Linked DNA regions of Arabidopsis thaliana. The protein of the gene in region 1 interacts with the protein of each later gene in a pairwise test. Each region holds a gene or a part of one and is shown in the gene's direction. Other genes may lie near its edges.

What was found. Proteins that work in one complex are often made in the same cells at the same time.
Region 2: the proteins of TIFY8 (region 1) and LST8-1 interact in binary tests that used the Arabidopsis thaliana proteins (3 or more experiments, as listed by UniProt).

The regions. Positions count from the first base shown.
Region 1 is NC_003075.7:15,715,207-15,721,296, reverse strand, and holds TIFY8 (TIFY domain protein 8), read left to right. Parts: upstream 1-2,429; 5' UTR 2,430-2,594; coding exon 2,595-2,841; intron 2,842-3,534; coding exon 3,535-3,704; intron 3,705-3,796; coding exon 3,797-4,053; intron 4,054-4,131; coding exon 4,132-4,228; intron 4,229-4,340; coding exon 4,341-4,566; coding exon of another isoform or gene 4,567-4,631; intron 4,632-4,637; exon of another isoform or gene 4,638-4,775; coding exon 4,776-4,864; 3' UTR 4,865-5,065; downstream 5,066-6,090. Other genes in the region: AT4G32580 (Thioredoxin superfamily protein), read left to right, coding at 762-932, 1,007-1,081, 1,183-1,419; AT4G32560 (paramyosin-like protein), read right to left, coding at 5,262-5,324, 5,409-5,531, 5,640-5,720, 5,934-6,041. UniProt on the Arabidopsis thaliana protein: Repressor of jasmonate responses.
Region 2 is NC_003074.8:6,211,291-6,216,919, reverse strand, and holds LST8-1 (Transducin/WD40 repeat-like superfamily protein), read left to right. Parts: upstream 1-2,115; 5' UTR 2,116-2,352; coding exon 2,353-2,460; intron 2,461-2,544; coding exon 2,545-2,646; intron 2,647-2,733; coding exon 2,734-2,846; intron 2,847-3,000; coding exon 3,001-3,070; intron 3,071-3,244; coding exon 3,245-3,322; intron 3,323-3,392; coding exon 3,393-3,509; intron 3,510-3,608; coding exon 3,609-3,691; coding exon of another isoform or gene 3,692-3,695; exon of another isoform or gene 3,696-3,771; coding exon 3,772-3,851; intron 3,852-3,930; coding exon 3,931-3,990; intron 3,991-4,070; coding exon 4,071-4,177; 3' UTR 4,178-4,335; downstream 4,336-5,629. Other genes in the region: RACK1C_AT (receptor for activated C kinase 1C), read left to right, coding at 4,549-5,427. UniProt on the Arabidopsis thaliana protein: Component of TORC1 complex, which is an essential cell growth regulator that controls plant development. Acts by activating transcription, protein synthesis and ribosome biogenesis, and inhibiting mRNA degradation and autophagy.

The DNA.
Region 1 (6,090 bases):
AAGGCTTTTTGTCTCTGTTGTTAACCCATTAACAAGCCCATTTAACTTATTTTCAATTTATATCTTCGACTTATCTTTAAATTATAAATTGAAAAGACGTTAAGTGGGCCTTTTAGTGCTAATTTTTTCAAGCCCATTTAACTTATTTGAGTCTTGGAATATTTCACTTGGAAAACAATGCGCTAATTCCATCTCCTATAATTTCCCTGTATATATTTTGAGAAGATGGATGGATTGAGCAATTTTAAAGACAAATATTTATGTAACTAAAAAATTATTCTTAACTTTCTGATGATTTATGTCTGAGGGAAGCATCTAGTATGCATTGTTTCTGTTTCATGTGAGATAAGCAAGAAAAGTAAGTGGGAAACAAGAAAGCAGAACAGTGAGATTACCAATTGTGCAAACAATCATATCATATAGTATACTTTGTTCGCCATCTTACTGTCACTTAAACAACAAAATTCACTATCATCGTTTAGCGGATTATTTTCAACTATATAACCCAGTAAAAGATAGTTTACTTGTCATGTGGTATATTTGACAGTTATCAAACTTTTGAGAGTTTGTGACACGTACGATACAGACACAAAATCAAATCTCCCTCTCCGACCATTTTTTTTTCTTAGTTACATAAATCTCTTTTCCTTCTCCAGCAACAGAAGAATTCTGCTCGATAATAGATTGGTAATCACAAAAAGAAAAGAAAAAGTGTTGGAGATCCTTCCGAGAGAGACGCGACATCTCCTTCCTCTTCGAAGATGAGTGGTACTGTGAAGGATATCGTTTCAAAGGAGGAGCTTGATAACTTGCGCCACAGCGGAGCACCACTCGTGCTTCACTTCTGGGCTTCTTGGTGTGACGCTTCGAAGCAGATGGATCAAGTTTTCTCTCATCTCGCTACTGATTTCCCTCGTGCTCACTTCTTTAGGGTTCGTCGTCTCTGTTCGAATTTTATCTCTTTCAATTGGTTTTTGACTTTGATTGGTTTTATTTATCTTCTTAGGTAGAAGCTGAGGAACATCCTGAGATATCTGAGGCTTATTCTGTTGCTCTTGTGCCGTATTTCGTCTTCTTCAAGGTAAACTTTAGGCATATTGATTCTTTGTTTGGTTGCAATTTTTTGGCTTATTGACAAAGCTTGAATCTTTGTCACTGCACTGAATCCTTTTCTTATTGAAGGATGGCAAAACTGTGGATACACTTGAAGGGGCAGATCCATCAAGTTTAGCTAATAAAGTTGGCAAAGTTGCTGGTTCTATTACTCCTGCAAGCTTAGGGTTGGCTGCAGGGCCAACGATTCTTGAAACTGTTAAGAAGAATGCGAAAGCTTCTGGACAAGACCGAGCTCAGCCTGTATCTACCGCTGATGCTCTCAAGAATCGTTTGGAAAAACTCACCCTGTTATGTTATTCATGAATGGTACTCCTGAAGAGCCTCGATTTTTAATATCTATTGAGTACTTTCTTTATAGTTGGAATTCTTGTGGATATATATCAGGTAGCTACTTGGAGCAAACATGTTGCTAAAGTTGACCTGCTACTGTTGTTTGAAGAACACGTGCTATGTCTTGTCGTTGAAGGAATTATGTTCATATGGGAAGAACATAAGCCTACTGGAAAGTTTACCCCTAGCTCTATTGTTAACCCAGATACTTGAGCCTCCATATCACAAACATCTAGTTAAGGTTTGTGTAGTAAGAACAAGAAAAACAACACGTGTTCCCAATTCCCATATAAATGACCATTATACTTCTATCAACCCAATTAATCACAGTCCGGAGACTAGTTGATTAAAAAATCAGCTAATACTAATTTGGTGGTTTCAATAAACATCTTAAATACTCCATAATTAAACTAGATTAAAGTGGGAAAAATCGTCATGAGTAGTTGTAAAATCGATTTCATTTAAGAGTATAGAAATTCGTCATGAGTGGTTGGTTCATGAGTTCTCTCTCTTACTCATATTAGAGTAAGAAATCAAACACTTATAATCATTCAAAATTCAACAACTCTCATCTCAAAACCATATATTTAGGTAAAGTTATATGCATACATTTTGCATTTTAATTTTAAAACAGATTATTTGGCGCGTAATGATAAAATTATGTGTATAAAAATTATTTAACTAATCGATCTAACAACCACATATGAGTAAAGTAGTTAACATTGTACTACTACACCAAATTATAGTGTGTTGGTTAGATTAGATACACAAACTCACTTTCTCAAATCAATAACATTATGAATCTATGATAACCTTAATTTAAAAAGAGTCTATAATGCCATGATTTTACAATCGTACTTTTTTCTTTTGGGCTGAACTTTTAATCATATATTATTTGAAAGATGTGATTATTATAATATTAAAGGGAATTAAAATCATGTAAGAGAAACCCAATAAAGTAGCTTGAAGAAGAAAAAGACAAGCTTTATTATACACTTACCCAGAAAAACAAAAAACAAAAAACTGATAATATCTCTCTCTCTCTCTCTCGTTGAGTGTGTCCATGAAATAATACTCTGCCAGAGACAGAGAGAAAGACTGTAACGGAGGATGTGGTGGCGAAGTGGCCACACTGACACACTGGTTTCATGATGGTGAACCACAACAATGGCCAGCGACCCACTGATATTGATTCTCGTCTCCGACAGACAGAACAAGATAAGCTCTTGTTCCATGACTTTTTAGGCTCCAAGAATCCTACTTTAGCATCCACTTCCATGGCTGACCATAGGCTACCACCGGATAATAAGGCGGCTAAAGCGGCGATGACTCCTTCCACGGCTTCTGCTTCCTCCGCCGGTGGACTCGGCGGTCTCTCCTCAACCTCCGATCTCGGTTCTGCTCTGTCTCTCTATCTCTCTCTCCTGATGTTTTTGTTGTTGTTGACGTAGTGTGCTTACGCTGATGAGGTTTTGAGCTGATTCCTCTGTACATTTAGGGTTTCTATCTATAGAAAGTTCAACTTTTGTTACATAGATTCGATTTAAAGTTGGATTCTTTCTTTTCCCCCTAGTCTGGATTAACGATCGAGCTTTGATTCACCATGATTTGAAAATGTAAGAGATCATGTGAGTTAGTTTCAAATTTTTTAGTCAATTCATTTATGATTAGATCTCTTAAGTTGAAAATGGAACATCTTTGGGTTCATAAGGTTGAACAAAATGTGAATGTACATTGTCTTGTTTCATTTCTTGCCTCATTGCTTTTTTAGTTCGACAATTTAAGAAACATGAACATGGATTGTGTGTGGGCATGTGGTTGCTTGACCTCTTGTAGTGTTAAGGACTCTCCCTCTCTCTCTCTCTCTCTCTCTCTCTCTGCCCAACCATAATGCCCTCTGGTGGATTAGTTGGGACATTGAGAGTGAATTTGACTGATGAGTTTGGTGGGTCATAGCCATTTGAGGTTGTGATCCTTTTTTATATGAATTGGCCCTTCTTTATTGCCTCTCGTTTTCTCTCTCTATCTCCTTGAGTTCCCTCCCACAACAATCTTTAAGTTACTTATCCATATTTTATCATTGTTTAGTCGAAAGACACAGCGGCGGTGGGAATCATCTTGATGGGATACAATTGTTTGGACCAAGAAGTGATGTTTCTGGCTCAATCATGAGCAATCGGTTTTCAGGAAATAAGAGAAGTAACTCTGATTCTCACTTCACGACTCAGGAGCACCCAGAGACTCTGCATTGGTCCAAGGTAACTAAAAAAAAAACAGAACCTACACAACTTCACCATGGTCACAGCTACGTAGAACTCAGTTTCTGTAATATGTCATTGTCATAACCTAGTTGCTTAGAAACGGACCTGGAAGCTTCTCCATGAATGTGAATCCTTTGGCAAACCAGCCTCCACGCGGAGGAGGACAGATCAGTCATTTGCTTCATCAGCTGTCTACTAGCAGGTTCAAAGATGAGAACGTAGGCCCATCAGTTATTGCTCAGACAGCTGCTGATGAAGGTTCACGAACAGGGATGAAAGGTCCCGGTATCTTGAGTTCTTTTACAATGCCAAACTCAAGCAAGCTCGAAAGTTTTGCCCCTTCAAAGTCAGTTAGCTTCTAGTGTTTTGTGTCTCTGGTCTTTCGATACTCTTCGAGTCATTTCAATACACTTTGTATTTGCAGTACCGGAAATCGGAAAGACTTGGCGTCGAGTACTAAGCAAATGACCATCTTCTATGGCGGTCAAGCTCATGTCTTTGATGACGTTCACCCAAACAAGGTGATTCTCCCTAACACTTATACACTTGATATTCAAGTTATTTGACTACATTTTGATATCTAAAAAGGTAGAGAATTGAGAAGTTCATCTGATGAATGTTATTTTTTTGCAGGCGGATGTGATAATGGCCTTGGCAGGATCAAGCGGAGGCTCATGGTCTACGGGTTTGTCTCATAAACCGAAGTCGAAGAACAACACAAGTGACGGTCCATACAAGCTAGGCCAAATGTATGAAGGAGGCAGCTCTAAGGAAACACCACAAATGCCCCCGGAATTTCGTGCAAGGCCGAGTCATCAACCTACCTCCAGTGCCTGTCACCGGATCTTTACACAACCAGGTGACTTCTTTTTAAAGAAAACCAGATTTCAGCAGAAATTTTGGTTAGCTTCTTACAAATACTGAGTGGAGTAGAGTAATCAGGTCTTATTTTGCATTGTGACATAATAAAATGAGGATACAACAGTAAAGAGTTATCAACTGTTCTGGGTTTTATCAACTTGAATCTGTTTGAGGAGCCATAAAACCATGTACATGTATGATTTGCAGGTAGAGAGCATCAAGGAAGCATCATCTCAAGGGGACGAGATATCAGAGATCCGGTTCACAGATCAGATCCTGAAAAAGAAGCCACATGATTAAAGTCTGAATATGAGAGACGATGAGTGTGGCTGTTCTTCTAAGTTGTTGTTTTTTTTGTTTTTTTTTTGTTTTTGGTCAACTTCTTCTAAGTTGTTATTTGTTGACTTGATAGCTTTGTACAATGCTCTGTACCTTTCTAGGTTTGTATTCAAACTCATCTCCTCAATGATTTAGAGAATAATATTTTCTCATAGCTCATATATAAACATATTGGTCAACCAAACCTACTATTTCTAGGCCTATCGATTTTCGTATATTTCCATGTAAGGCTGAGCATATGGATACATCACATCACAAGAGAATCATATCTAAATCAACTCTGGCTCTACTCTGGTTAGCTGTAACTCGAAAGGAGAGTCACTTCATATCACCTTATTCAAACCCTTCTTCGAGTCAGAGGTGTTCGTTCATGGCAGATATATGACTTCTCAGCCTCTCATTCTTAGTACATTCCTCCTGCCATTGAGAAATTTAGCACTACGTAAGTAGATGACTCTCGGGCTTTTCAGTATAAACACTTATTTCCTATCTTGTGCTAACCTGGTATGCTCTTAGTACAGTGTAGCATTTTCTTTGCTCTGCAGCTGCAGCTATATACTTTTCTTTTGAAGCATCACGGAGCCTCTGCTCTTCTTGAAGCCCAAGTTGTATTTTTCCAATCTTCTGCACTTTAAACATTTTGTTATGACAAATCATACAGCTATAGATAGGTAAGATGGGTTAGTTCATGCTTTGTGCCTCAAATACCTGATTCAATATAACTCAGATTACCTGTTGGATTCCTTTCATGACTCCTTCCATTGAATCAATAAGCTTCACACGGCCAGCAGGAGTACCAATCACGTCTTGAAACTACAATCAAGTCAACGGAATTATGGTGAAACTTTGACTCACCAAGAGATATACTAAAAGGGGAAAGCAGAGACGTAAATCAACTTAGTAATGAACATAAGCTATTCTCAACGATATAAGTACATGACAACTAAAGGTACAACGTGGAGAACAGTACAAAGCAGATGATGCTAGTTATAGAAAATCAACAAAATAATAATGCCTGTATTTTACCTGTGAACCTATGGAATTCAATAATGATGTCTCCTTAAGCATCAAATCTTTGATTTCTAAAAGAGCATTGTATGTTGCATAGAGCTTCCTAGTTTGTTGAAGTTTCTCCTGTTTTTAGTCAGATATCAAACAAATGTTCGTCAAGCTAGCAAGTTCA
Region 2 (5,629 bases), on another chromosome or scaffold:
TTCAGCAGACACAAAACAGAGACGTCTTTTTTTTAGTTTACTGTACTAGGAAGTGAGAAGCTGAACTCGACAGCCATGTAACAACAAGTTCTCAGAGTTACATATATAAGTATATAACTAAGTTTTGATTAATAATTTTTATTTTCCCATCATATTTGTAAACTATATTAGAACTGAAAGATTAGACTGTTTAATCTTGTGTGGTTATAATCTATAGATAGTAAATGGAGCATACCTGAGCACTGATCTCGACATGGCCGGTTCTGTTGTTACGAACTGGATGGTTTCCTCCATGATGACCAAATTTCATCTTAAAGGTTTTACCTCCAAGAGCTTGTCCAAGTAACTGATGACCCATACAGATTCCATAGACAGGAACTTTTCCTAGAAGCTCTTTAACCGTCTCAACTGCATAAGGCACTGCAGAAGGATCTCCTGGACCGTTGCTGAATAGAATCCCGTCTGGTTTCATTTTAAGCGCCTCTGCAGCTGGCCATGTCGATGGGACAACTGTGATTTCACAACCGTATGATGCCGAAATCATATGCAATAACCTTTTGAAGTGGAAGTATGAAAACAGAGTTAGAAGCTAGTGAGGAAATCCCGTCTTAGAATGTTTTGCTTGATCCCGAAATCATATGCAATAACCTTTTGAAGTGGAAGTATGAAAACAGAGTTAGAAGCTAGTGAGGAAATCGATGAGAATGTAAATTAGAGAAGAGAAAGTACAACTCACTCTGTAGGATTCCCTGTGACGTGAGGAGGTTGTCTTAAACTCCCATTCAGGATTTGTTTTTTCAACCCATTCGTAGGGAGATTTACAGGAAACATCGCTTATTAGATCAAGGCCTAAAATATTCAACCAAGCAGATAGACAGAGCTCAATCACATATTCCACGCTGATCATATTTTAAGGAGGGCAGTGAAAGAATTCAGACCTACTATATCCCAAGAGCGGGACATATGCAAAAGTTCCTCGTCGGTTTTGGATCCATCAGTGCTAAGCACACCGTTAAGACTGCCGCTTTCTCTTAATCGACGGGTTATTGCCCGTGTGTCAAGATCATCTGGTAGGATTAAAATGAGTAATGTTCTAAACCCAGTTATAATATCTAGAAATCTAAATTAGAATCTAAAAAAGAATCTGACCCTGTCAAAGAGGTGTTAAATACCAATTCAGCAACACGGGTTCCAGAAGCACCAAAAGACTTAGCTGACCAAACAGAGCCATCTTCTAACACTAGCCTAGCATTGTATGAGCTCCATGGTTTCTCTAAAAAACCTACAAAACCGGTAAAACAAGGAATTCACTGTTAGAAACAGAGATGATAGAACAGAGGTTAAGAACTGTTTAGCTGAATGATACTTAATTCTGTGAATGACTTTCAGATGTCTCTGATATCTCTGATAATTTCTCACAAATGAGACTACATGCTTATATAGAAAAGAAATGTATCTGCACCCATTAAACCCATGGACTCATTATGTCCTACAAACATAAAAATAAAAACCCCCAAATTTATTGTAAAACCAAAACTGACAAATGTGTCTTAACACACATTAACTCCCCTCTTTACTCTTGTTTGAATCACATTTCAACATTCACACACATTTTCAGCTCATCCAAACTAAAAGAAACAATAACCAAAACGATGATTAAGGCACGAATCAAGAGCCTACAAGTAATCTGAAAAAATCATATATATACATAACATTTGAATCGAAAGCCAATTCGAATCTAAAGTTCTGGGAAAAAATCAAGCTGTGAAAATACGGAAATGGGGAAATCGGCGAGCGTTACCAGATGCGGTGCCTGTAGAGGTGACTGAAGAAATGGAACACTTGACGACGGAGAGCCTAACTCCTCCGCGACGGTTCAATGACGGCTGGATGAAGAAGCCCGTCGGCAAAACAAATTCCAGAGCTTTCGTAGCCGCCATTGTTGCCGTCTCTAAAAGCTTCCAAGGAGTCTCAGCCGTTATGTCTGTCAGTGAAGTAGTGAACAAATAGTTGTTCTTTATATTTTCTTATTACTTTTCATAAATAACAAAATAGCCCTTTACTTATTTTCGTATATTTAAATAAACCCCAATAGATATATATTTATACTAAAACCTCCCCGCGTTAATTAATTATGAGAAAAGCTTGGTAAAAACCCTATTTTTCTTCTTCTCTTCAATTTACAGTTCTCTGCACCTTTTTCTTTCCCCTGTTTTTTGATCCTCAATCACCAAACCCTAGCTTGTTCTTCTGTTGATTATTTCGAAAAGGGGGTTTGTTTGTTTTCTGGGAATCAGCAAAAATCACGAAATGGTTGGTTTAATATTTCAATCGGGATAAAATCGATCGAAAATGAGTCAGCCTTCTGTGATTCTTGCTACGGCTAGCTATGATCACACCATCCGATTCTGGGAAGCCGAAACTGGTCGCTGTTACCGTACCATTCAGTATCCTGATTCGGTTTGTTTCTCTCTCTCTCTCCCTTGATTTTGTGAATTCTGAGTAATTAATAAAACTGAGACAAATTAATGTTTGTAATTGCAGCATGTAAATAGGCTTGAGATAACCCCAGATAAGCATTATCTAGCTGCAGCTTGCAATCCTCATATTCGACTCTTTGATGTCAATTCCAATAGTCCTCAACCTGTAAAACTCCTCTCTTTTTTTCTCAATGTGGTGTTTGCTTCCTTCTACCTGCTTGAGTGATCTTGATGGAGTCGTCGTGTGTATTAGGTGATGACTTACGATTCACACACCAACAATGTTATGGCAGTAGGATTTCAATGTGATGCAAAATGGATGTATTCAGGATCAGAAGATGGCACAGTTAAGATCTGGGACTTAAGGTATATCATGTCATCTTCATCTTTAGCTAAAAGTTTATAGATTTATTCAAGTGTGGATTCTGGGAAAGGATAAGGAGATATTGAATATAAAGTTACGAAAAATACTAAGAACGTTCTAAATTGTATTCTTGTTGACTCGTAAACCAAAATGCAGGGCTCCGGGTTGCCAAAAGGAGTATGAAAGTGTTGCAGCGGTTAATACAGTTGTTTTACACCCAAATCAGGTACATGAAGTCATCTGTTATTGTTGTGCTGTGGGAATCAGCTTCGTTTTATGTTTAAGAGAGTTGTTGTATTGCTACTGTTGAAACTGCTGTGATTTTGGTAGTTGTCTCAGCTGTTATTATGAACTATTTCCTTAGTCTTTATTATGAACTTTGTTTTTTTTTTTTGTACAGACTGAATTGATATCTGGAGACCAAAATGGAAATATACGTGTATGGGATCTCAGAGCAAATTCGTGTAGCTGTGAACTGGTAATTGCCTTTGACACGTCTTCATTTCATTTCTGAAAATCCGTAGATAATCACTTGAGGTTAACTATAGGTACCAGAAGTTGATACAGCTGTACGGTCTTTAACTGTTATGTGGGATGGGACAATGGTAGTCGCTGCTAACAACCGTGGAACATGTTATGTATGGCGCTTGTTGCGTGGAAAACAGGTAGTGTTCCTGATATGCAAACCTTTCTTTTGTTTAACCATGTTGTAGTCGCATTACTCTAATTGTCCATGCCATTTAAAAATTCAAAATCTTTTACAGACAATGACAGAGTTTGAGCCCCTTCATAAGCTGCAAGCTCATAATGGCCACATCCTTAAATGTCTCCTCTCTCCTGCAAACAAGTAACATGTTTCTTATACTTTCTCTTTTAACCGTTTTCTTCATCCTCTCCTTTTCGAAGCTCTTACATATTTGTTAGCAGATATCTAGCGACTGCATCATCTGATAAAACTGTCAAAATATGGAACGTCGATGGTTTTAAACTAGAGAAAGTTTTAACAGGTATGTTCTCCATGTTACTGTCAACAGCATTCATTCTCCATTATCGTCTCTTACACTATCATCAAATCTTATATAACAGGACATCAAAGATGGGTTTGGGACTGCGTCTTCTCAGTGGATGGAGAATTTCTTGTAACAGGTACTAATCTCTGTCTTAACTTAAACCACTGAAAAACATATCAGAACAATCTTTAAACGGGTTTCTATGATGTTGTACAGCATCATCGGACATGACGGCTAGATTGTGGTCGATGCCAGCAGGCAAAGAAGTGAAAGTGTACCAAGGTCATCACAAAGCCACTGTGTGCTGTGCACTTCACGATTAAAACCTTAATAAGAATCAAAGCTAAATTATGAACAAACTACGATTGTGTTATTTGTGTTTTAGTAAACTCTTGTACATTTCAATCGAATTCGTTCAAATTGCTCTTATGTTCCCTCTCTGATCAAACATTTCTCAACTATATCACAACAAAAATGCTCCAACAAAATTTATTTCAGAAGAGGCCCATTTATACCTGACTCGGAAACTCCGGCCCAAATGAGCCAGTCTCCTCGCAGAAACCACACTAAACCCTAATTTGATTCATTTTTAGACCTAGAGTATAAATACCAAACATTTCAATCGACCTCGTAATCTCTCGCTCTGTTACGCCATTTTCGTGAGTAAGAAGAAGAAACCCGAAAACCTCAAACCATGGCCGAGGGACTCGTATTGAAGGGCATTATGCGCGCCCACACCGACATTGTCACGGCCATCGCTACGCCGATCGACAATTCCGACATCATCGTCACAGCGTCGCGTGACAAATCCATCATCCTCTGGAAACTCACAAAGGACGATAAGTCTTACGGTGTTGCTCAGCGTAGGCTCACAGGTCACTCTCACTTCGTGGAAGATGTTGTTCTCTCATCGGACGGTCAGTTTGCACTCTCCGGAAGCTGGGACGGTGAGCTCCGTCTCTGGGATCTTGCCACGGGAGAAACAACTCGTCGATTCGTTGGTCATACGAAAGATGTGCTCTCTGTTGCATTCTCTACTGATAACCGGCAGATCGTGTCTGCTTCTCGTGATCGTACGATTAAGCTTTGGAACACACTTGGTGAGTGTAAGTATACCATCTCTGAAGGTGATGGTCACAAGGAATGGGTTAGTTGTGTTAGGTTTAGTCCTAATACTCTTGTACCAACTATTGTATCTGCTTCTTGGGATAAAACTGTGAAAGTTTGGAATCTCCAGAACTGTAAGCTGAGGAACTCTCTTGTTGGTCACTCTGGTTACCTCAACACTGTTGCTGTCTCGCCTGATGGTTCGCTATGCGCCAGTGGTGGGAAAGATGGTGTTATCTTGTTGTGGGATTTGGCTGAAGGAAAGAAGCTTTACTCGCTTGAGGCGGGTTCGATTATTCACTCGCTTTGCTTCAGTCCTAACAGATACTGGTTGTGTGCTGCTACTGAGAATAGCATTAGGATTTGGGATCTTGAGAGCAAGTCTGTTGTTGAGGACTTGAAGGTTGATCTCAAGTCTGAGGCAGAGAAGAATGAAGGTGGTGTTGGAACTGGTAACCAGAAGAAGGTACGTCATTATCTTATGATTTCACTATAGTAATTGGTTCTCTATTGATAGGTTAGTGAATGCACCAAAAGTAGTGATGAAATTATCTTTGGTTATGACAAAAAAAAAGTGAAATTTTGGTTAGAAATTGCATGTAGGAAATCTTTTCCCTTACCCATTAGCTTTGAAACTAGGAATTTTATTCTTTAAATGTTGCTCTGCT